Linked DNA regions of Nothobranchius furzeri. The protein of the gene in region 2 purifies or fractionates together with the protein of the main gene of each other region. This does not show direct contact. Links are inferred from orthologs where the notes say so. Each region holds a gene or a part of one and is shown on either strand. Other genes may lie near its edges.

Region 1 (8,576 bases), on a different chromosome or scaffold from region 2:
CACCCCATACTCCTGGAGCGTCCCCCACAGGGCGCCCCTGGGGACACGGTCATAAGCCTTCTCCAAATCCACAAAACACATGTGGATTGGTTGGGCAAACTCCCATGCCCCCTCCATCACCCTTGCAAGGGTATAGAGCTGGTCCACAGTTCCACAGCCAGGACGAAAACCACATTACTCCTCCTCAATCTGAGATTCAACCATCGATCGGACCCTCCTCTCCAGTACCTTGGAGTAGACCTTTCCAGGGAGGCTGAGGAGTGTGATCCCCCTATAGTTGGAACACACCCTCAGGTCACCCTTCTAAAAGATGGGGACCACCACCCCGGTCTGCCACTCCACAGGAACTGCCCCCGATGACCACTCAATGTTGCGGAGACGTGTCAACCATGACAGCCCTACAACATCCATAGCCTCGAGATACCCAGGATGAATCTCATCCGCCCCCAGGGCTCCGCCGCTGTGTAGTTGTTTGATTACCTCAGCAACTTCTGCCCCCAAGATTGGACAGTCCATCCCCAGGTCTCCCGGCTCTGGTTCCTCCTCGGAATGCGAGTAGGTGGGATTGAGGAGCTCCTCAAAGTCTTCCTTACACCGAGCGACTATAGCCCCAGTTGACGTTAGCAGCTCCCCATCCCCACTGTAAACAGTGTGAGCGAGTTGCTGCCTTCCTCTCCTGAGGCGCCGGACAGTTTGCCAGAACCTCTTTGGAGCCGATCGATAGTCTTTCTCCATGGCCTCACCAAATTCCTCCCACACCCGAGATTTTGCCTCGGCAACTACTACTGCTGCACCCTGCTTGACACTCTGGTACCTGTCAGCTGCCTCCGGAGACCCACAGACCAGCCACGCCCAGTAGGCCTCCTTCTTCAGCCTGACGGCTCCCCGAACCTCTGGTGTCCACCAGCGGGTACGGGGGTTGCCACCACGACTGGCACCGGCCACCTAGCGACCACAGCTAGCAACAGCCGCCTCAACAATCGCAGAGTGGAACAAGGCCCACTCGGGGTCAATGTCCCCCACTGCGGTCAAAGCTCTGTCGGAGGTGGGAGTTGAAGACCGTCTTGACAGGTTCTTCTGCCAGGCGTTCCCAGCAGACCCTCACTATGCGTATGGGTCTGCCAGGTCTACGCTGCATCTTCCCCTGACATCTGATCCAACTCACCACCAGGTGGTGATCAGTTGACAGCTCCAGTCCTCTCCTCTCTTCACTCGGGTGTCCAAAACATACGGCCGCAGGTCAGATGATACAACTACAAAGTCTGTCATCGACCTGCGACCTAGGCTGCCCTGGTACCAAGTGTAACGAATGGGCATCCTTATGTTCGAACATGGTGTTTGTTATGGCCAAACTGCGGCTTGCACAGAAGTCCAATAACGAAACACCACTCGAGCTCAGATTAGGCGGGCCGTTCCTCCCAATCACACCACTCCAGGTCATGCTGTCATTGCCCACGTGAGCATTGAAGTCCCCCAGCAGGACAATGGAGTCCCCTGATGGAGCACTATCTAGCACTCGACCCCGGGACTCCAAAAAGGGTGGGTACTCTGAGCTGATATTTGACCCATAAGCACAAACAACAGTCAGGACCCGTTCCCCGACCCGAAGGCGTAGGGAAGCTACCCGGGGTAAACCCCAACACACAGGCAAAGAGTCTTGGGGCTAACAAAAAGCCAACACCAGCCCTCCGCCTCTCACCCAGAGTAACTCCAGCAAAGGAGAGTGTCCAACCCCTCTCAAGGACTTGGGTTCCAGAGCCAATGCTATGTGTCAAGGTGAGTCCGACTATATCTAGCCGGTACCGCTCAACCTCTGCCACAAGCTCCTGCTCCTTCCCCACCAGCGAAGTGATGTTCCATGTCCCAAAAACCAGTTTCGTTGTCCGAGGATCGGACCGCCAAGGATCCCGCCTCGGTCTGCCACCCGATCCACACTACACCGGACCCTTCATGTTCCTCCTGCGGGTGGTGGGTCCATAGTTGGATGAGCCCATGTATGCGGTTCGGGCTGGGCCCGGCCGGGCCCCATGGGCGAAAGCCTGGCCACCAGGTGCTCGCTCACGGGCCCCAACCCCAGGCCTGGCTCCAGGGTGGGACCCCGGTATCCTTCCGGGCCGGGTACCCCGACTCTTTGATTGTATATCCACGAAAGATCCTCTGAACTGTTCTTTGTCTCACCCTTCACCTAAGACCAATTTGTCATGGGAGACCCTACCAGGGGCACAAAGTGCCCCAGACAACATAGCTCCTAGGACCATTAGGGCACTTAAACTCCTCCACCACGATAAGGTGACGGTTCAATACGTGCATACAGAAACCTATTTTTGTTTAATTCGGTTGCACAATGGGAATAAAGCTTCTATGGTGGATTACATCAATTAATAATACACCTTTGCCTTTAGTACTGTTAAAGCAATGTGTGTGTTTGTGTGGGGGTGTGGGGGTGAGAGAGAGAGAGAGAGAGAGAGAGAGAGAGAGAGAGAGAGAGAGAGAGAGAGAGAGAGAGAGAGAGAGAGAGAGAGAGAGAGAGAGAGAGAGAGAATATAACAACTATGAACAACCTGTGACAGTGTTGCCAACTCAGCGACTGTGTCTCTGTTCCTAACGACTTTTTGACCCCCCTCAACGACTTTTTTTTCCCAAAAAGTGCCTAGCAACAAACCTAGAGACATTTCTCAGGACCCTTTTCTACTTTCTGTAGAACTTTCTTGTAGATATTCCCCACAGATTAGCAACAAAGTGCAGAGGTCACCACTGGCCACTAGGGTGTGCTGCAATCAAGCCTCGAGGAAAAAAGGTGTATTCACAGACGTGCCTGAAGTCACGTACATGTGAGGACCCCTCACTGTACATACTGCTGCTTCTCATTTGGATTACTGCTGCTCAACCATCACACTGCTGTCTATCCATGCTACTGTTCGACTTATATCTGGCTCCTTCATGAAGAAATACACTCCTCGATGTCAAATGGTTTTATTGACAAGGATGAAGGAGCCCTGCGGCGACATACAAAGCTCAGTGAGCGGAAGCTAACGGCAGCGTGAAGCAGCAGCATGGGCTGAAGACCAAAGCTAAGCAATGCGATAAAATGGGTAAATAAATGCAGCGCGGCTTAGCGTGCATACAGACAATGTAACCATTACATTAGCTTAACAAACAGGTGAAGACTTACAGATACAAGTCGAACAGTAGCATGGATAGACAGCAGTAGCATGGATAGCGTTAATTTTCCCCATAGCATCTAAAAGATGTATATATATGTATATATATATGTATATATATTGGATAGACAGCAGTAGCATGGATAGCGTTAATTTTCCCCATAGCATCTACAAGATGTATATATATGTATATATATATATGTATATATATACATATATATACACATATATATATATATATATATATATATATATATATATATACATATATATATAAACATATATACATATATATACACATATATATATATATACATATATATACATCTTTTAGATGCTATGGGGAAAATGAACGCCAATGTGGCGTGATGACGCCATCAATATGTAAATAAACACGTGACGTCATCTGGCGACATCTAGCGGTTGGGGGGGACTTCAGCTGCTTTCAGTCAAAAACAGTTGGCAACTGACCTGTGAGCTGTTTCCCTCTGAGCCTCTCCAGAGTAGAAGGGGGGTCTGTGGTCTCAGAGGGCTGTGGTTGAGACAAAAGATACACTTTATATGAATAACTAGCTATTACACACCAACAGCTCTTCCCCCTTTCTCACAGACCTGTTACACTGAGAGCTTCCCTTGGAGCTGTTCCTGCCTGACTCACGTTGAGCTTCCAGCAGCATTTTCTCCACGTCGCCCTCCTGGACGGACCCGGGGATTTGTTCTTGGCTTCCCCGATGACCAGAACCTTGAGAGCCAGTCCCGTTAAAGTGCAGCTCAACCCACGAACCTTTAAATAAACACACGCCATGCCTGTCAGCCATTAGGGTGTTGAGATAAACAGCTTTGAAGGACAACAATAATCAGACGTCATCACTCACTGTCTTTATCTGAACATTTCATCCCCTAAAGCTCCTATGAAGTGTTTTTTCACATATATCTTGTACAACACTCATTTTTCATAAGCTATTAAACCTTTTAGCATTCACTTTTCTCCACCTTTAGCCAGGGTTACGTTAGCTAGTTTATGCTAGTTTTTTCTCGTGGTTTTTCAGAAACTTTACCTTGTAAACTCTCGTCCAAAGCAATGTCCTTCCGATGCGACATTTCGCTGATTAATATGTTATACGTTTACACTATTATTAGGTCTAACGGAAGCGAAATGCCCGAAAGCAGCAGCTGGAGCTTGGACACAATAACAATGACGTAATATTGTGTTTATCTAAATTTGGATTGGCTCAGAAAGCAATGCACCCAGGCCGAGAGAGTGCGCATGCGCACACCACCGAGCGGTCCATCTGAAACCCTTTAATTATAATATATTTAAGATGAAATATCACATTAATTGAATAGTTAATACTGAAATAATAATTAATATGTGGCGTCTGCTAATTTTATACTGAAGTTAGACTTTGAACTGGTTTTTACTCACTTGTCTGCAGGTGGCAGCAAAAGTTCACCAGTGTCCGATAATTTCTGTACCGGTGGGACCAGACCATCAAAAGAAAAGTCTGAGATAAGAATTAAAAACTTCTATGAACTCATGTTTGTCCATGGAATCTGATGTATAAAAGAAAAAGAAGACAAACTCAAAAAGCACAAAATGCAGTTATAGTATTTTTAGATTTTGTATTTTAAAAGTATTTGAGCTTTTTTTTTTGCAACGCTCTGTGATATTTTCCATTTCATCGTCTCATTACATGTAGTCTCATTTTTCTTCATCTCTGCTCATTTTGTACTTCGTTTCTATTTTTATTTTATTTTTTTTTTACTTTTTTGGATTTATTGTTGAACAAAAGTATGTTCTTATATGGTTCATATTGTTGACAGAACTAATAAATACAGTATACGGCTGCATTCCAATAATAATTATTGATAATATGCCTTTTAAATTTGGACTTGTTACACAATTACAATACTTACAACTAGTCCAACCCATGAAACGTGCATTGCATAGAAATGGATGAATTTTCAAAGGGCTGAAACAGATAGCCTAGTAGTGTATCCCAAAATTGTCAACATTAACATTTTTCTAAAGCAATATAGTCATCATGGCCTTTAATATAACAATATTATTGGGGTGCAGGTGTGGAATGGCACAGCTTAAGCTTTTGTCAATATTGGGCTTTTTTTTTGTCATTTACATTACTTGTATTTTTATGCATTTAATTTGTTTTGAAACCAGTACTTTTGAATTGATACTACAACTTCAACAGAGACCTTTTTAACCCCAAGCAGTTTTGGCTTGTGTCCCCTTGTGTCCGTTGGTAAAAAACCAAAAGTGAAACTTATCTCGTCATGTTGGCTTTTTAACACTTTAACAGCTGAAATGTCTCCTCAGCCTTCATTAATCTACAAGTGTGGTTCATCACTAAATCAAACAAACCTGCTGTGTTCACGATTTAAAACATGCAGGAAACTTGCTGGAAGCAGACTGCAGGGCTAGCATGTCAGCTCTACTTTATTAAGCCCAACAGGGACCAGACCAGCAACTCTGAAGTTGCAAGTGCAATATTCTGGCCAGAAGGGGCGGTGGGGGTGTGAGTGACATTCCATTACCATGTAAAGGGTAATTTTAGCACATACTGGCTCAATAAAATGATTTAAAAACATGAAAAATGTTGATGTGAATACGTTTGCACATGTCTGTCATCATTTCTTTCGTGCATTTGAAAGGTTCTGTTTTGACAGACTGAGCAGACCCTGACTCATGGTGCCCTGATCAGTGTACACATCACTTTTTTCAATACCTAAGGTCCGTGTATCATGTTTTAATCTGATTCCTATGAAACACAAAAGTGGCAAACAGTAGCTGTAATTGGATGCAGTAAAACACTTCATCTTTGCTCATTACTTCTTGCATAGGCGAGTCCAAATTTGAAACTGGCAAATTTAATTATTTTCCTCCCATGGAGATTATTGTGACTGATTATTCTTTCAAAATTTTATTATTTCGACAATACAGGCAAGCTTATTATTGTGGGATGTCTTCTCCTCCCAGGCAGGAAACAACTTATGTGGAAGACGCAGAGCTTTCAAAATTATTCCAAAAAACAAGGACGCAAACAAACAGCAGCACAAAAAAGTGTGACACAGAAAGTTGGCAAAACCATGTAATTCAGCCATGAGAAGCACAAGTCGTTTTCAAAGTTCATATAACTATATAACACAAGACCACTGGTGTGATTTAAAAGTTAGTTTTAATTGAAGATCCATCCATTTTCAGCCACTAATCTGGTGTCGGGTCGCGGGGCAGCAGCCTAAGCACAGAAATCCAGACTTCCCTCTCCCCAGCCACTTGGGATAGCTCCTCCGGGGGAATCCTTAGGCGTTCCCTGGCCAGCCGTGAGACGTAGACCCTCCGGCATGTTCTTTGGCTTCCCTGGGGTCTCCTCCTGGTTGGACATGCCCAGAAAACCTCACCAGGGAGGAGTCCAGGAGGCATCCTGACTAGATGCCTTAGCCACTTCAACTGGCTCCTTTCAATGTGGAGGAGCAGCGAATGTACTCCAAGTCCCTCTCATATGACCAAGCTTCTCACCCTATCTCCAAGGGAGAGCCCATTTCAGAATACACAAAAGAATGTTGTCGCTTGTACCCGCGATCTCATTCTTTCGGTCACTACCCAAAGCTTGTGACCATAAGTGAGGGTAGGAATGTAGATCAAGCAGTAAATTGAGAGATTTGCCTTCTGACTCAGCTCTCTCTTCACCACAACAAATTGGTACAAGGCCCACAGCAGACGCAGCACCAATCCATATTTCCCTCACTCGTAAAAAAGATCCCAAGATACTTAAACTCTTCCACATGAAGCAGGACCTCATCCCTGACCCGGAGAAGGCATTCTACCCTTTTCCGACTCAAGACCACGGTCTCTGATTTAGAGGATCTGATTCTAATCTCAGCTGCTTCAAACTCGGCTGCAAATATTAGGTTTAAGCCATTCTGATGAAGCCAACAGGACCACATCATCTGCAAAAAGCAGAGATCTGATCCTTAGGCCACCAAAACAGATCCCCTAGAAATCCCTAGAAATCCTGTCAAGTTATGAACAGAACTGTTGACAAAGGACAGCCTTGGCAGAGTCCAACTCTCACTGAGAATGAGCACAAGTTGTTGCCAGCAATGCGGACCAAGCTCTGACACCATTCATACAGGGACCTAAAAGCCCATATCAGAAGGGACACAGTTGAACGCTGTCTCTAAATCGGTTGGGTGAACTTCCAAGCACCCTCCAGAACTTTTAAAGACCAAAAGCAAAGAATGATCATAAAATGTTGTGAATCAAATGTTGACATGATTGTTAAAAAGAAATTTTATTTTTACCTGAGAAATTGTACAGATGGGCCTTTGTAACACTGCACCTTGAAATGAACTGGATAAAAGATACAATAAACTAAACAGAATGGGGCCTCATTTATCAAGCTTGCTTACGCACAAAACAGGGTCGGAAAACTGCATAAGCAACTTTCCATGCAAACTTTGGGATTTATGAAAGAAAACTTAGCGGAAATATGTGCACAACTTTAAGTTGACTAAGGACCTTGCTTACCCACATGTTGGACATGGAGAGCACCTGCAGTGCTCCTGCTGAGAAGGATACAATCATGAAATCCTGCAGCATTATCACTTGTACTGCTTCGTTTTCACACAGAACAAGACCCCCCACACGCACACACGCACATACTCAAACACACACACACACACACACACACACACACACACACACACACACACACACACACACACACACACACACACACACACACACACACACACACACAGCCTGAAGCGCAGAATACGGAATGCAGAATATCAGCAGGGGGACAGATTGAGACAGAATGTCATGCGTCTGTGACAGTGTGTGTCCTGTCACTGTGACCCGATTGATGATGCGCCCTGGCTACTTGGACAAGGGAGATCTCTGTTTGGGTGACTGGTTAGCGTGCATGACTTTCACCTGTGAGTCTGGAGATCAAATTCTAATTGGACCATTTTCTTATATTCGCCACAGATCTCTCTGAAGAATTCACAACATTGACGGCTTCAGCAACACTGTGCCACTCCGTGGATTTTCTCTTATTTGTTTTGCAAAAGTACTTCCTTTCATTTCTCCACCTCACCCACAGATTTCAATTTCTGCTTCTGTGAAATTGCACTTCCTTGATCTGCCTTGATTTATGGTCACCATCGTCATTGGCGGAGCGCTGCAACAGTCGGCTTATGTATATGCATGAGGTCCACAAGGCACTTTGCACTATTTATGGCAGTAAGTGGGCGTGGTGAGGGCGGGATGTGACTAAAAAGCAGCTGAGAACCTTTCTAGATAGTTTCTGATTTATGAAGCGGAGATTGCGTGCAGCTGTGCGCACTCCATGTTTGATAGCTCACAAACCTACTTGGCGTATGTATATATTTTTT
Region 2 (8,576 bases):
TGTTTATCAGTACATTACAGACAATAAAGAGCTTTATCACAATATGCTAATTTTTTGAGAAGGACCGTATATATACATACATACACACACTGATCATCATAAATGAGTACACCCTCCTTAAAATGTACAAATTGAATCAGCAGCTCAATGAACAAAAGGGCAATTTCCAGAAGTTTCCCAAGGCTGGGTTTTATTGAACACTTGTTTAACTCCATAACATGAAGCTAAGGTTAATAATATAACTTAGATCACTAAATCTTCAGTTTTACTAAAATTGGTTGAAGTATAAATGAATACACCCCACAATAAAAACTACTACATCTAGTATTTTGTATGACCACCATGATTTTTAAAAACATCACCGAGTCTTTTAAGCATGGAATGGACAAGTTGGCGACATATTGCAACATCTATCTTTTTCCAATCTTCAAGAATAACCTGTTTTAGAGCCTGGAAGCTGGACGGAGTGTGATGCTCAACTTGCTGCTTCAGAATTCCCCACAGGTGTTGGATTGGGTTCAGATCAGGAGACAGACTTGGACATTCAGTAACCTTCCCCCTGTTCTCCTTCAGAAATGCAAAAGTAGCTTTAGATGTTTTGGATCAGTGTCGTGTTGGAAAAGTGCAAAACGACCAAGTGCACGTAGTGATGACAGCATCTTCTCATGCCAGTCCTCTGCAGTGTGCGCCAGATGGTGTCACGGGAAATGGTCACTCCAGTTTGGCTTTCTACTGCTTTAGCTAACTGCAGCAAACTTGCATGACGATTCTCTTCAACCCTTCTCATCAGAAGACACCCTTGTCGAGATGTTAACTTCTGTGGACGGTCTGGACGTCTCTGTAAGATAGTCGCACTTTCATCGTTCTTACTTGCTTGTCCCGATGTTCTGGCCCGAAGGTTAAATGTTTGGATGACCTTTGCTAAAGTATTGTGACTGATATGTAAAGCTTTGCTGATCTTCTTGTAGCCTTGACCATTTTGGTGTAAAGAAATTATTTTCTTTCTCTGATTTTCTGACATTTCTCTTCCATGTGCAGCCATTGCTGACAGCATGAAATGGGAAGGGCTTTTCTTTAAGTAATGCCCGTTTATAGTCACCTGTCTGCTGGACACCTCTTAGATGAATCACTAGACTCGCCTGTGGTTTGATACCTGTTTATTAGAAGTTGTAGTCTTAAGTGTGGCTTTTCTCCTAAGACTATAATTGGGGTGTACTCATTTTTGCAACATGGGCTTGAATAGACTTCTTAGGAAAATCACTTTTTTTGTGTGTGAAAATAAACAAACCTTGTTTGTAATCAATGGGCCATATTTGTGGAGTGTTTTGTAGTATGGTGCCTTATAGAAAATGTTTATTCTGAAAGGAAACTAAAGGTTTTCTGACAAATGTAGCGGGGTGTACTATTATATATATATATATATATATATATATATATATATATATATATATATATATATATGTATATATGTATATATGTATATATATATACATATATATATATATATATATATACATATATATACATATATATATATATGTATATATGTATATATGTATATATATATACATATATATATATATATATATATATATATATATATATATATATGTATGTATGTATGTATGTATATATAGTGCGCTGACAAAAGAAGCATCAATGTGTTTGTTACCTAACATCGGTGGGTGGGTTCTGTGATAATGGGTTGTGCGAGCAGGCCATGATCTGGACAATGGCTCCAGGGTAGTAAGTCTCAAACACCTCCACGGCTGTTGGGTAGACCGGTTCCTCAAAGCCCAGCTCAACATAATCCTGGCTGTAAAAATCTTTTGGGGTACGTCGGAAAGGTAGTGGGGCACTGGCACACTGCTCCCACCAGGTTCCATAAGCTCTGAATACAGCTGTCTGGGTGAAGTCCCCTGAGCTGGGGTACACGTTGGGCACCCCAGCCAGGTTCCACATGGTGTAGGACATGCTATTCTCACTACCATAGTGGGAGCTGAAGTCCAGGACCTCCTTGGCGTACTGCTTCACCTCCACACTTACTGGTAGCACCGCCCGCTGACCGGATTCCACGGCGCGCCGACTGGTCAGAGCCTCGCCTCGAGTCCCGCTCCTGGAGCGCCGCCGCAGACAGATATAGTAAAACATGCTCAAGAGGGTTAACATGGGGGCAGACGGGAGAAGCTGAGCTTAGACGGAGGAAGAGCCTCCAACTAGCACATCGTCTCTGGGTTGGTTAGTAGCCTGGCTGCATGCATGACCTGTGGGTTAGGCAGAGACAAACAAAAGTGAGAAGAGCAAAACATCAAGTCTGAGAGAACACAAAACCTGCTTGGCCCTGAGATAAACCAGGTCATAAAACTCTGAAAATAAGTTAAAAAAAAAAAAGAAATACAATGTCAGGCAATATTGTTTTTAGCAGAAATGGAGGCTTTGCACATTTTAAGTTTAAATTTACATCTGTAGCAAAATTTGTTCAGAATGTTCTGTCAGTCAAACTTTTATTAAATCCAGATGCAAAAATGAGTAGAGTTTATAAAACTTTAGTGTCAAAAGCATGATGTTTTGCCAGAGCTGTATTACTTATTTAGCTAAGCATTTATGTGATTTCATGCAAAAAAAAAACTCCCATTAAAAGGAACTCTCAAACTGCTTCTATTAAGAAACTCTTCTGAACAACATGGGACTAGTACATTCTATTTAGTACAAAAAGACCATTACCACCGGTAGTACAGAAAAAGTCATTTCCTAGTTCCACATTAAACCCGTAATTTTACATTTGAAAAATCTGTATTCTCATTAAACGCTTTTAAAATGATTACGAGTGTCACCGATGTTTTTACTTTTGTGGAATCTAAACTGCAGATCAGAAAAGAAAACGGATGTCTAAGATTTGATAATGTAACTCAGAAAAATTCAGTAGAATAGAAATCAAGTAGTTAGGTTGGCAATTTTAGTAGAAGTGGTCTGTTCTGCAAAATGAATAAAACTATTTTATTTATTTCTGTAAAATAAACTAGACTCAAAAGCCCAAATGAGCAAAAGCTTGCAGCGGTTTGTGTGATGAATCCAACCCAAAAAGGGGTGAGAACTAAATGCATTTACCTTTGACACCCCCTCAACACGAGATTTTAAGTGTGTTCCCATCTATAATATATACATATATTTTGTAAATGCCACAATTGACCTTAAAGCTAACTTGTATTCCGCAGGGTTTTGAATAAACTCGAGACAAACCTGACTGATTCTACTCGTCATAACCTGTAGTTTAACAATAAGGGGGGAAGCTTTTTCAATAAAATAATAAACCAAACACTAGACAATTACTACTTACTAAAGCTGGTGATGTTTTATAACTGTTTAACAACATTAGTTAAATTTTAACTGGTGACCTTACACACACACACACATAGATAAGAATCACACAGGAGTGTGATTGGAGTAAAAAAAAAGGTTAGTACGAAAATTGTGATTCAATATAGTTAAGGTGATGTTATTTTCTGAGGGCAGTTAGGTTTTGTTACTTTATCCAAGTGAAGAACAAACACTAAAACAGCTAATAGTTAAATAAACTAGTCAGATGGCAGAGGGTCTCCCACAGATATCAGCTGTTTAAGTGTGTGAGCTAATGTTATGCTAGCTAGCCTAGCTAGGCTGTCAAAGCATGAACTGTTAGTTACCACTAGTTAGCTATAAAACACCAAATTTAAGCGACGGCATATAAATAAAAATTACGTTAAAGGCAGGTCGATATATCCATTCATGAGAAGCGATCTTCCTCTATCATGAGGCTTGATCAGGGTATTTCTGACCGCAAATAATGCCTTCCAGTCAGTCGTTTATTTCGTGTTGCCTTCAGAAGCAATCGGACATTGTCAAACGTTTGATAAACATAATCAACCAAACACAAATCATGTCATTCGATTTTAAATCCGATTTCAGCATGAATAATGAAGCAAAAGATAGCACCATATGACTAACCTTGACTCTAAAGGGGATAACGAAAGCGGTCATTTCAGTGTTACTGCTTGTTCTCCTTTGTAATACTGTTGAAACTAATCACCATCAATTACAATTACACGGATAAGTTTAAATATTATTTAGAGGAACTCTTAGAAACATAAGCTATGTATCTCATTTGAAACTGAGTAAAAAGTCAAATAATATACAATAAAAACGTCTACTGTTTCCAAGTTACGTACCGTAGCTCCCTTAAAGGCCACACGTTTATCGCGTGTGCTCGTTGTTCTCTAAACGCAAAGCATTATGGGAATAGTATTTCATTGAAATCAGAAACAGGAAGTACATTTTTTAACTACTTGAAATGCAACCTACGTGTGTGTATATTATACAATCAATGACTGTAACTTAACAAAAAATATATATTTACTATTTTTAACCCAGTTTATTTATTTTTATTTTCAACAAGTGAATCTAAACACAATAATGGTCATGTTAACCAAAATACACAGTTCAGTGTTTAGATTATTTTATTTCCTTGTTATTGTTAACTAGCTGAAATAAACTTTAGTTGAACAATATATCAACAAAAGTACAGGACTGTTCATAGACCCTACACACATTCAATGATGATGACATAGAACAAATACAATACCAGGTTATAATTTATAAAAGGCGTACGACTAATTTAAGTTTGAATTGCAGTTAAAAGATGGTGTAAGACCAACATTTTGCATAATTATGTTTGGCAAATTTTGGGATTAATTGCGTGTCTGTTAAAATGTGCTAGACCTAATTACCGGTATTTGAACTGAATGCTGAACTTATTCTAAGAATGCATTTATTCCCCACTCAAACATGCAGATTTCAACTCCTTGATAACTAAGACTCACACGGATCATTCAGCTTCACATCCAGCATTGTATTTACATTGTCAAGCCATTCTGTTTCTGCTATGCACTAAAACCAAAATGACCCAGCCTTTCCACACAACAGCATAAAACCAATGAGTCCAGCTCTTATTAGCAGGCATCGATTGTGAGTGACAGAAGATTATTACCTTTCAGTAAAAACTCTCGCATGGCATCAACTTTGGAGCTGCTTGGATATTCTTAGAGATGAAAACACATTCACTGTGTAGGGTTTGAGAAATTGAGTGCTTTAAGAGCTCAATATATATATTACCTCTACTAATGACCAATAAGTAGTGATACTCTATATAAATATAGAATATCAACCTACTTGGTCTTTACCGTGTTTAATCAGAAGATTCTAGTATTCTTTGTTTTATTCAGGGATTGTACACACTTCGTTTTGATTCAGAAAAAAGTCAGGTTTATAAAAGTAAGAATTTATTTTACAAACAATTAAAACATAACAGGTTAACTAGCATTTACTCTGAGTGGATGGATCTAGATGAAGCAGGTGTAGTGTATGGTGCCTATGTGTGAATGTGATGTTATCAGAACTTCCATACCTAGGAGAGCTGGGTTCTGGGTGTAAAGAATTTGTTTTGTGTTAAGCTAAGATGTTGATTATTATCAAAACACATCAGACGCAATCTGTGTGTCTACTTCACCCCTTCTCGGAGACCCTCTTCATGGATCCAAAGGTCAGAGAGGTCAGATGACCTCTGGCACCAAGGGCTGTAGAATACTCTAGCACCGACATTTCAGTCCAGAGATGTCTCGGGTCATGACAGATGGATGGAACTGCACGTCTGGCAGACTCTGAAGGAGTCTGAACAATATCATCTTGTTCTGCAGGAACCGTTTGCTGTATCAGCTTCGCAGGTGCAAAAAGATTTTGACGACGTGTCAAAAGCTTTAATGGGTTAGAGAGGTGTTGCTTCAGATGGCCGGTCTGAAGCTTTTCTCAAGAACTGATGAATCACCAGAGAGATCCAGTTTTAATGTTCTCATGTTATGATTTGTGTAGCCAACCAGAGGTTGACAAGTTGAGGAATGTTAGCAAGACAACTCAGAAACACGCCTTCTTGGATCTGGATGCTCTGATCTGGGGTAAAGGACTATCTATGTGTCATGAGTTTAACTTAACCTTACTTTGTCCTTGTGTGAGTGCAAATGGTGATGACTTTGTCATATTAACATGCTGAAACATATATCAATCACTGTAATCATAACATAACATTCATTTCAAACTTCAATCACTCAAGCACAGATTAATGAAAACATTTCATTATGTTATAAAAATATTATAAGTAGCAATAAACAAATGTTTATTTAATGATTATTTAACTTACAAGTTTAAAAGTTCATATTTAATTTAAGAAATCATTCTTTGATTTAGCGACTAATCCGAGCTGCGAGTGTTCACTTATTCAGAGGCACGAAGAATCCTGCAGGGCGATAAGCGAGGCCTTGAGCCTTGAGGAGAGAACATCATTGTTGGCAATACGTTATCGTGTGTTCAGAGCTGCAGAGAGGCTCTGAGCTTCAGCTGATGGGATGAAGACAGACAGAATAAAGGGAACACGTGCAGTCTCGTGTCTCCATTTTGACCAGATGTTGAAGGGTCAAACTGTACCTAAAAACTGACCATTGCTGGACGTTACAACTGTAAACTACATCAGCCAAATTTTGTCTGTGAATTACAAGCAACCAAGTTATTTCACTTTTCATTGAGTTGTTCCCATTGAATAACTTCCCTTTGACATGGATTCATTATTTCTACTGCTGCTTGGCCTGTTTTGGCAAGAACAGATCCCTCGTTCAGCACCACGTGTTTCTTAAGCCCCATTCCCACCTGTACCGGGTCGGCCCGGGCCGGGTAGCCCCAGTCGGCCCCAGCCTGGCCCGGTTGATTCCACACATCCTTGCCTTAAGCCCATGTGGGCTGATTCTACCCACCAATCAGAGGCTTGCTCTAATGGAAGGTGTGAATGGGCTGATTCTACCCACCAATCAGAGGCTTGCTCTAATGGAAGGTGTGAATTTGCTGTCAGCAGTGGGTGTGTTGGCCCTGGTCGGCCTGAAGCAGTACCCCTCGGGAAGAGGGCCGAGAATGAGCCTTGGTTGGCCCGGGAAAATTCCAGGCCACCCAGATATGTAAACAACCTATGCTACCCGGCCCGGGCCGACCCGGTACAGGTGGGAATGGGGCTTTAGCATTTCCATACCAGCTTTTCACATCTGTCTTGTTTGGTCTCCACTGAAACTGTCCCCCACAGCAAACACTGCATCACATGAGAGAAAAAAGGCTGAAATCACACTCAGATGAAAAGGGTATAAACAGATTTAGAGTTAACAAGATAGTTTAATGTGAACAGGGAGCTAGCGGCGTGCTCAGTGATTGACAGACTAGGCTGCTGTCAGCTCCTCCTGGCAGGCATCAATGAGCAGCAGCCCTGCTACTGTCAGAGCTCTGTTCTGGTCCAGTGTGCCACCCATAATATATGCACATGGCTGTGCACACACAGATGCAAATGTGGCTGGACGCGCAGATCAGTGCCAGCACACATACACGTAAAAGACACACACACATTAACATGCCTGTCCATGCACTGGTACACCCACTGTCCCAGTGCAATGCCCCAGCTGGTAAAAGCCAGAAAAATAATAAGTCTGCTCACCCAGCCCCGCCTCTTTTTTAAATTTATTAACTTATTTTTTTTGCCTAGAAAGAGGATATTCTAGTTATTGCTTGTATTGAACAGTGTCTTTGCTTTTCTCCCTTAAACACACAATGGTCAGTCGACAAGGGAAAACCTCTCATGAGGTCGTGAAAATATCATGTTTGTTTTTTCTTCATTTTTAAAACCTTTTTGCTGAGTTTTTCATTGGAGCTATCCACTAATCAGCTCAACCCACAAAGGCATTTTCTTACAGACGTGGCTTCATTCAGGAGGAAATAACAATTAATTTCAATAGCAAAATATTTATTATCAAGGAGTCTTGTTATAACAAAGAAATTATCGAATCCAATCCCATTTTATAGTTTATAAACTAGAACCTGAAAAATTATTCTGGAAGCTTTACTTTTTTCAATAGATTGATCACAAACTTTCCTTGATCTGAATCATCATGAAAGGTGCAAACTGCTTAAGTTTAATTGTGTTATTCTAATTAGTCTGGAACATTCTGCAAAAAGAAGATTTACACCTATCAGACCTCAAGTTTTCCAACTTCTTCTGCACAACCGGCATTTGTGGGTGAAGCAGCAACAGATTCAGAATGTCTGTTGGTTTGAGCAACGATTTACACAACAGGTAGAAGATGCATCTTGGATTAAATGTAAAACAAATCACCAAATGTAAACAAAAAAACATCAACATTTTTTATATCAACATTTATCCATGAACTACAAAGATAATATATTTCATGTTAAACTGTGAAAGGAGCTGTAAGCACGGGACTCTCATGTGCATAATCAACTCTAGCACACCGCTGCCTGCCTGAACCAATGCAAATGACTACATTTGGAAAAGATGTTTTCAAACAGATCTCATCACCATTCAGAGTGGAGTTCTTGTATAACTTCAGCTCTTTAAAGTCTAATTGATTCAGACACCAGAAAACTGAGTATTTAAATCTGATTGCAGTTTAACTTTCTAGGGCTCATGACAGAATCTGCAAAATAATTACTGCTGCAAG
Region 3 (8,576 bases), on a different chromosome or scaffold from region 2:
TGCATGATGGACATCGTTCCGCCTTCAAACTGCTCATTTTTATACACAAGTTCACAAAACCGATACATTTACAGAGCAAAAACAATTCACCCTCCTGTTTCCATCGGCAAAAAAGTGAAGGTTGTTTAATTATCTAAAAGAAAACATTGCCATAGAAAAAAGAACAAGGATACGAAAAATGTAGCTTTTTATGTTTTAGAGGGAAATACAAAGCCATGAAACCATGAATATAATTATATTCATGAGTGGAAACGGTAACAAGCGTTTCAGCTTTAAATTAATGACACCATACAGGTCAGAATTAAATGTTCATGCTTTTATTGGTACACAGAAATAATAAGCTGGGGGATGGTAATTATACTAAAATATTAACAAGTATGAACATCGCCAGTGCAACCAGTTACAGATCGTTTCAGTGTGGTAGTGTTGGCAGCATCTTCCCTTTTACTTTTCTTCACACCACTGGTTCTCTTTGCGTACCTGTGGACAAAAAGCAGTTTAAAAGCTTTGTTTTCCTTGAGCATCACTTTTGAGGACTTTTTTTTTTTTTACCTGGGCTTCCTCCTCCTCCGTGAAATCGTTTTTGATGTTGAACGTCTTCCTGATCTCCTCTGGGGTTTTGCCTTTGATCATATTGGCCACCGTCTTGCAAGTGACGTCTAACAGGCCTTTGATGTCCAAATAGTTGGCGGCCTGAACAGAAAATAAATGACATTCGGATGTGGAAGATGCTGTGAGATGGCACAAATGCCTCTGATGAATAAGTAACTTTAATGTCTAATATAGGAACTATGAATAAAAGTTTTACATCAGTAAAGCTGGGCCAGTTAGCGTTAGCATGTTAAATACAGAACTATTACAGGGTAACTGCAGGTTTAAGGGAGTCAAATTTAAGACTTTTTAAGACCTTTTTAAGGCCACTTTGACCAAATTTAAGCTATATTTTAAAATTCAATTTCTGCTATAATTTCCAGCTATTGCCTGGAACCGGTGCTAACCACATCGCGAACGTGGGATTAGCCATCCAATTACCATTAAACTTGCACTTCTCCATGGCGTAAGCTCCCACTAGCTTAATCAGCTAATGTGCTCATCTAAAACTAGCCCCCTTTCACAACCAACTGAATGTGTACGGTTCCGCTTACGCCAACATTGTACACAAAAAATGCTGAACACTAACTGGAAATTCACGAAAATGTCATAGAAATGAAATAATCTAGTTTATTGGGTCTTTGGTAATTTAAGACCTTTGGAAACTGTATTTAAGGATCATTTGTCATTTTTAAGGATTTTCAAGGCCTTAAATTTGGAAAAGTAAATGTAAGACTTTTTAAGGACCTGCGGATACCCTGCATTATCCAAATCTGCTTCCACTTCATTAACAAGGAACTTTTTATACAACTTAAAATCAGCATCTGTCTCTTTTACTAGATGTTGCTAAGCAACATTTGTGTTTTTGGTGATCAAATCAGACCACAAAAAAGACAGAATTAGGGATGTCCCGATACGACACCGATTTCAATACGATACCAGCACAAATCATACTTTTACCTATTCCGTAGTGTGGAATGTATGAAAGGCTTGATGAAGTGATATTACTCAATCGGAGAACAAGAGCCAATAACAGTAAGTATGAAAAAAAATTTGACCCTTTTTTTAAACCACTGGTCGCAAAAATGTGAACCTTAACAAACTGCTTATATTGGAGATTTATGATGCAGTCCGATATAATCCAATAGTGTTTTTGGGCCGATAATGAATTGCTTCTGATATCGGAATGGGACATCCCTAGACAGAATACTAGTGATGCACCGATATCATATATCGGCGATATGAAATTTTTTGTGCCGATACCGATATTGGTCGATATCGATATACTGGCATTAATGCTTCTAAAATCAGCAGATTTTGTATAGAATGAAAATTATAAATTATTAAAGCTGGATTTACATTATTATGTACACACACCACACACATTTATGGTTCTGAAATGATTTCATTCACTGTTCACAAGACTAAATTACACATCACCCTCTGAAACAGGCAAACAAATGGGGACAAGATGGAAAAATATCGGTTGTTAATATTGGCCTGGTTTTCTTTATTGAACAGATATGTTAAAAAATAGCTAACATCAGCCGATACCGTTATATTGTCCATCCCTACAGAATACCCAATTACACAAAACTTGACAAAAAAAATTTTTTTTAAAATAATCATCAAACGAGGACGTTTGAAGTAACGGGTGTAAATAAAGATCTGGATCGGAGTTAAGAGAAAACAAGCACTTATATCGTTTGAAGAACATATTCATGGGGCTTTGGGACATTCTGACGTGTTTCTGTGTAACACATCAGTTTTTATCTTACTTCTTGTAGACAGCTTCCTGAAGAGCCTCAGTTTGAAGAAAGTGTTTACGTTTTAACTAATGATGTGCTAAAGCTAATCCAAACACAAGTGGATCGCTAACGTCTCCAAGCTCCTCTTATAAACTACATTTCAAATCAGTTCACATGAATAATTATAGCTGTACAATACAAAATAAGTTGCCTTTTTAAACACTTATTTTATTTATAGTAATGTTTACAGTGAGCGCATTTTAGGCTGAGTGTTATGGAGAGCTGCGGCGAAGAGGTCGGCTGCCAATCAGAATTTGTAGCAGAACTATAAACTATGTGTAATATTTGCAAAAACAACAACTTTTCTGGTTTTGCCTGACCCAAACTTCTAATAATGACCTAAAAACAGAGAGGACATTTTTTCCAGTTGATTCAACCTCAAGAGTTAAGAATTCTGCTGAGGGGTGAAAATCTGTTTAAGGGGTGCGGGAAAAGCATCAATTTCAATGTAGCTAACGCATTTAGCAGCAAAATAAGAATAATGTTTAATGAAACATATTTACCAGAATGAGTTCAAACAAGGTGCCTTGGTCCACTTTGAGGAACTCCTGGTCCCAGACGGGAATGTCGTCCGTCCTTTTCTCTTTGTTCTCATCATCCTCGGGAGGAGGAGGATCATCTTTGTGATGAGTGCACCACTGAATCACCTAAAGGGGAAAACATGTTTATTCTTAACTGAAACTACATAATTTTATACATTCGTGTTAAGATTTACGCAGACAGAAACATGTGCACAACATTCCCCCGTGATGAAGGAATTTTGAGATCTTCTGCTGAGGTGCATCTACACGTACAGTTTTACCTTTATCTGGATTAAAGGAGCGTGTCAGTTGATTTGGCAGGACAGAACATAACAAAGACAGACTGAGCATCCTCTTAATAAGTTATATAGGGCTGCCATGATTAGTCGACTCGTCACAACATCAACAAACAAAATACTCGACTACTAATTTAATAGTGGATGCATTATTTATTCTGTGACCATTAATTTTAATCTCGCCTGCTGCGGCACATTCGGCGGTTGCTTCCTGACTTTCTGCTCAATGCACATGCGCATTAGTCCCCATCCGGGTCAGTGGCTGTTTTCAGCTCCGAGGCGCATTCGCAGTAGTGGCCATCCAGATCAGCCTTCGTCACCGGAGAAAGAAGACATAGCGAGTCGGCAACATAGCTCAAAAGTTTTGGAGTATTATACATAGACTAAGGAAAGCACATAGTGCAAACTCTGCAAAGGGAAACTCTCCTTTCACGGGAGCACATCGGCGATGCATGAGCACCTTACAAGGAAGCACGTCATGGCAGAGAATAAAGAGTCGCCTCTCTAAGTTTACCTCTTTAGCTGCTAGCATCAACAGAGAGTTACTTGTAGTTATAGGTGTAGCAACAGCAGTAGCGGTGGCTATTTTTATTACCATTAGATCACGTTTGTATGTCACGTATTTTTGCTCCAATTACAAACGATAATGATTTCATCCCGCTACGCTACAGTGTTAATAAAAATGCTCCTCTTCAATGGACGAGTTGGTTACGTGAACACCTCAGCAAGCTAACGTCCTGACCATGTTGGTCATGAGACTCCTGTCCATGGTCGGTGATCGAGGTTTCAAAAAGATGATCAAGGATACCACGACAACTACCTACCAGGCTGATGCCCATTCACCAGCATGATGGAAAAGAAATACGAAACAACCTTTAAGGTGTGCGCGCGTGTTCAAGTCTTAGTCTCTTTCTCTCTGGACACAAATAATTATTGGAATTTAATGTGTTTTATGATCAAATAAAAAGGTTGCTGACTGAGCAATCAGGAACCTAATATTGGTGCATAATACAGTTTACATGTGTTGAATTTTAATCTACTTTGTTTTATAACAGAATTATTAATTTGGTAAATAAACTAAATTTAATATCTTTACAATAAAGCAGACCCTCAAAGCTGTCGATGATCCCCTGACTGCTGACGGGTGTACCAGCCATGCTACAGAGGCGCACCTTGATGTGCCCTGCTATTTCCTGAGTTAAGATTAGAATACATTTTGCGAACACAAGTAATTTTTTGTAGACAATTTATTTTTGGTTTTAGGTGCCTACCTCCATTTGACTGTAGCATTTGTATTAATAAGTTATGAAGTTAATTAAAAGTTTATTATTAGATGGCACATAACGGATTAAACTTCAAACTAGAAGCTAATGATGGGTATATTAGAGCAGCCTGGTGCAATAACCTATAGTTTTTTTTTTGAATGACACGATTAGTCAACTATTGCGGTATACCCAACTGTCACGGTGAAATCCAGAAATCAAATAAAAACCAATCACTTTTCTCCCATCGACTGATGTGAAACAAATCTGATGACTCTGCTGTTGTCATTGTGACAGCTGTGCGTTCTGTACCTTCTTCAGGATAGCCGCGTTCACATTAGGAAGGGGAACTGGGTCATCATCTCCTTCATCGTCCATTCCCAAGTCTGACCACACACACAAAAAAAAAAAACGTTAAAATTCAGCCTCAACCCAAACGATCTTTACTGTTAATTAAAAAAACTGATAACTCTTTTTACGTCAGTTATAAACTCACAAAATCAAGTTTGAACGTTTGAAATGAACAGAACATTTTACCTTCCAACATGGTCTTGATGGTGACGGATTGTTTGGCTATCTCAACGTCTACCTCGAAAATTTCCCCATCAGAACTCTGTAGTTTTATCGTGGGCATTTTCTGGAATGAACAATAATATTCATTCAGTGCATTTACTGCTAATTTTGCGACAATAGCAGACGTAATCCGCGACGAATTGTCTCAATTACCAAACTAAGCTAGCAAACAACAAGCTAACGAAAAGCTAACATACAATTAGCTCTTTGTATAAACAAAAGCTATTGATTTGATAAATAATACCTATCATAAGACTTGCCAGATGCACTTGTGTGTTCATACTGAATAAATACCACCTGTTGTAAATCTAATTTATTTGAGAAGCGCTAATGCCCAAGCTAACGATGACACAAGCTACAAGACGGAAATGCTAAAGTTAGCTAGTTTCCGTGTGCTTAAAAGAAAAATACATTGAAAGATGTTCGCTATTACAAATAATGGTAAACAAATACATGTTAATCACAGGCGAGACAATCAATTGTGTCTAAAATGTATGTCACAAAGCTTAAATCTTGACTCTTCGTTTCGCCAGCTCTTTGCTGTCAGCTAGGCCTCTTTGCTACATCATCGAGGCGTTTCAAATTGACGCATAAACCTGACGTGAAAATCTATTTAAACCTAACTTTATCAGGTCACCAGAACATGAAGCTACATACCGTGATTATTTAACAAAAACTCAAAGGTTATATATCCTTAGGAGTCCGTTGGAAGGCCTAGACTTTAAGTGACGAACAGCGGCTAAAAGCCTCTGGATCAACCTTTTCCGCTGTATGGCAATCCGTTGTAACATATAATCATGTTAATGCCCTACAATTTTTTTATTTGTTCTAAACAAAACAGCATTTTCATTAATTACATTTAAAATGTCTGTACAAGTTAAACCGTGATATTATTTAATTCTTGCAGAATACATTATAAAGTAAGGTGATCAAAACGTGCCAAACATAAGCTATTAAACGTAAATACGTATATGTCGATGGTAAATACCAGTTGTCTTGTCCCACAGTGTATATTTAGTAAGGTAGATACTTAACAACACTTAAAAGCAAGCAAGTGCCGATTTCCTTTAAACAACCCCAGTACAATTCCGATTTTATATGATAAATTGGCTTCCCTTAACAACATGTGCTAATGAAGGGAGCACAGCAGGGCCGAGCTCAAATCGTGGCGGTGGCTACCAGTCAGCATCGCTTCTTGTTTACCTAGCTCAGATTTTATTTTGATTGTCTCATCTCGAACCACTTTGATTTTAAATCAGAATTTGTGTTATAAAAAGACAAATACTTTGTCTACATGGAACAAATAAGCTCTTTTGTGATAACAGTGACTTGTCTTGTGCTATTCTATTTTTTTTAATAAAAATAAAATGATCACTTTCTATGTGTATCTTTCATTATAAATCTCTCTGTCAGTGTACCAATAACAATTTAAAGTACATGACTCCTTTTGACAACAGACTACACAAATCATTCATTTATTGTATATGGCATGGTGGTGCGGTAAGAAAAATTTATGTCATATATCAAATACAAAATAATATTTAAAAATATTAAATTTAAATATATTTATTTTTGAAAATGTGTAAGTCTAATTTATTAGTTACACTTTGTGAAGAGATAACAGGAAGCACTAGGGTCAGTGCCTGCGATTGTCTATGTGTGGTGTCGTGCCTATTCACAACCACAGGGTGGCGTATTTCCCCTTTTTTCCGGCAGATGCGACTTGTTTCCAGCAGGATCCAGGCTGGCTTAGATTGCTCTGGAAAAACTTAATAAAATTGCATTTATGCGCCTTTTATTTGAAATAACACAATTCTCAACATTAAGTTTGCTTGTTTTGGGCAATTGATACTTCTGTTCTCAATACAATCTAATATTATGGAGCACAATAATTTAAATTCACATTTAAATAAATGTATTTTTTATGTCTTCGCCTTGCTGTGTCAGTGTAATTACAACTGGCCAGAGAAATCCAAATATAACTAGACTTTTTACAAGAATGAAGAATAACCAAAAACACAATTCAAGAAGTCATCTTTATTATTCTAGTAGGTTATTATAGAGTCTGAAGCTAAAAGGAAGCAGGTGAGTTGATGAACACTCCATCTTTTCTATAAACCAAGCCATCTGACTGCATGAGAAGGGATTTTCCTAAAACATACACAGGTCAAAAAAAACTGAAGGTTTACATGCAATTTAAAAATAAACAACAAAAAAACTATCAATATCGTGAAATCGTATTAATCTTTTTGACATATTTAACATTTCTTTAACTGTACAAAAGTGCAAACAAATCACATTCAAATCTCAAAAACCATGGTCTGCAGTAGCAAATTAGTCTTGGACTTTGGTGCCGTCAACCCAGCTCCATATGTACAGGAGGAGGAGCCGAGACATCCAGGATGTTCTATTTTGTCATTTCAGATACAATAAATATTTAAGTGATCATGGCACACACCTTTTGGTCCGTTTATAGACACATTTGCTTTTGCGAAATGCTTTAACTAGATTGGATAAACACAACGTGCAACACTGCAGCCTCTCAGGCCTCCATCACGTTGTTTTCAGTTCAAAGTCAGATAGGTTGGTGGTTCTGGACAGGACCGGACCGGACCGTGCGCGGGTCGAGACTGCAGGTTTACAAGAAGTAGTCTGGGGTGCGGCGAGTTACATGGGGCTCTCCTCTGCGAGGCGCTGGATCAAACTGCAAGCTGAGGAGGAACATCAGGAAGAAAAAAAATCACAACTTATTCTAAGATTTCTTTGTCCACTCGTGATGAAATTCGCCTGCTTACAAAGAGTATTTGAGGGTGTCGTCTAGCTCCATGATGGCTGCCTGGTTTCCACAGCGATAGCAGTAGTTAGGAGCACTAAAAATGGTCACCACGTTCCTCTCATGGCACCAGTTGTAGCCCTGAGGTAAGCAGATGTAATATTAACACGCATCTGAACTTAGCGGCACTGCTTCTTTGTTTTTAATCATCTTTGGACACAAAGACAAACCTCCATGACCAGCTGATGGGCGCGGGACACCAGCGTGAGGCGGTTGGCGTGGTTGAACGTTTCAGAGATGTCCTGACCAAATGTGTAGCCAGCTCCTCGGGGAGAGATGCCCCAGCCGCCGCGGTCGTCGGGGTCTGACCACAGCAGGTCGCACATGGGACCCTGCGTGACAACGAGAATGGTCACAAACGTTTTTATCTTTATTGTTTCGTTGCTGATCTGCACCACATTTAACGTCTTTCTTTACCTCGTGCGGCACTTCCTGTAAACGATCCAGAGCTCTGATGTGATCCAGCGTGTCTATAGACGGTGATAAGCCCCCGTGGAGGCAGAAAATCTGAGGAAAAAAAATCGATAATTATAACAAATTATGATGCTTTTCAAAGAAACGTCAAGTTCGGTCTTTTTTATTACGCTCCTCTCACCTGAGAGTCTACCAGCGCAGTGAGGGGGAGGTAATCGAACAAGTCTGTGAAGTATTTCCAAACGTTTGCGTTTCCGTATTTCCTTAAGCACTCGTCG

What was found.
Region 1: the proteins of fbxl4 (region 2) and bnip4 purify together in Homo sapiens (affinity purification with western blotting; 4 studies listed by BioGRID, with this or other methods). This does not show direct contact. The link is inferred for Nothobranchius furzeri from reciprocal best matches to the Homo sapiens genes FBXL4 and BNIP3.
Region 3: the proteins of fbxl4 (region 2) and skp1 purify together in Homo sapiens (affinity purification with western blotting; 9 studies listed by BioGRID and IntAct, with this or other methods). This does not show direct contact. The link is inferred for Nothobranchius furzeri from reciprocal best matches to the Homo sapiens genes FBXL4 and SKP1.

The regions. Positions count from the first base shown.
Region 1 is NC_091752.1:32,882,336-32,890,911, forward strand, and holds the start of bnip4 (BCL2 interacting protein 4), read right to left. Parts: upstream 4,415-8,576; 5' UTR 4,263-4,414; coding exon 4,220-4,262; intron 3,946-4,219; coding exon 3,774-3,945; intron 3,694-3,773; coding exon 3,633-3,693; intron 1-3,632. UniProt on the Homo sapiens protein: Apoptosis-inducing protein that can overcome BCL2 suppression. May play a role in repartitioning calcium between the two major intracellular calcium stores in association with BCL2.
Region 2 is NC_091745.1:52,310,695-52,319,270, forward strand, and holds the start of fbxl4 (F-box/LRR-repeat protein 4), read right to left. Parts: upstream 4,256-8,576; 5' UTR 4,206-4,255; intron 4,158-4,205; exon of another isoform or gene 3,739-4,157; intron 2,265-3,738; 5' UTR 2,170-2,264; coding exon 1,673-2,169; intron 1-1,672. UniProt on the Homo sapiens protein: Substrate-recognition component of the mitochondria-localized SCF-FBXL4 ubiquitin E3 ligase complex that plays a role in the restriction of mitophagy by controlling the degradation of BNIP3 and NIX mitophagy receptors.
Region 3 is NC_091750.1:60,006,536-60,015,111, forward strand, and holds the start of skp1 (S-phase kinase-associated protein 1), read right to left. Parts: upstream 5,854-8,576; 5' UTR 5,709-5,853; intron 5,116-5,708; 5' UTR 5,113-5,115; coding exon 5,016-5,112; intron 4,865-5,015; coding exon 4,791-4,864; intron 3,047-4,790; coding exon 2,903-3,046; intron 694-2,902; coding exon 553-693; intron 481-552; coding exon 445-480; 3' UTR 1-444. Other genes in the region: ppp2cab (serine/threonine-protein phosphatase 2A catalytic subunit alpha isoform), read right to left, coding at 7,690-7,762, 7,847-7,965, 8,055-8,216, 8,302-8,391, 8,480-8,576. UniProt on the Homo sapiens protein: Essential component of the SCF (SKP1-CUL1-F-box protein) ubiquitin ligase complex, which mediates the ubiquitination of proteins involved in cell cycle progression, signal transduction and transcription.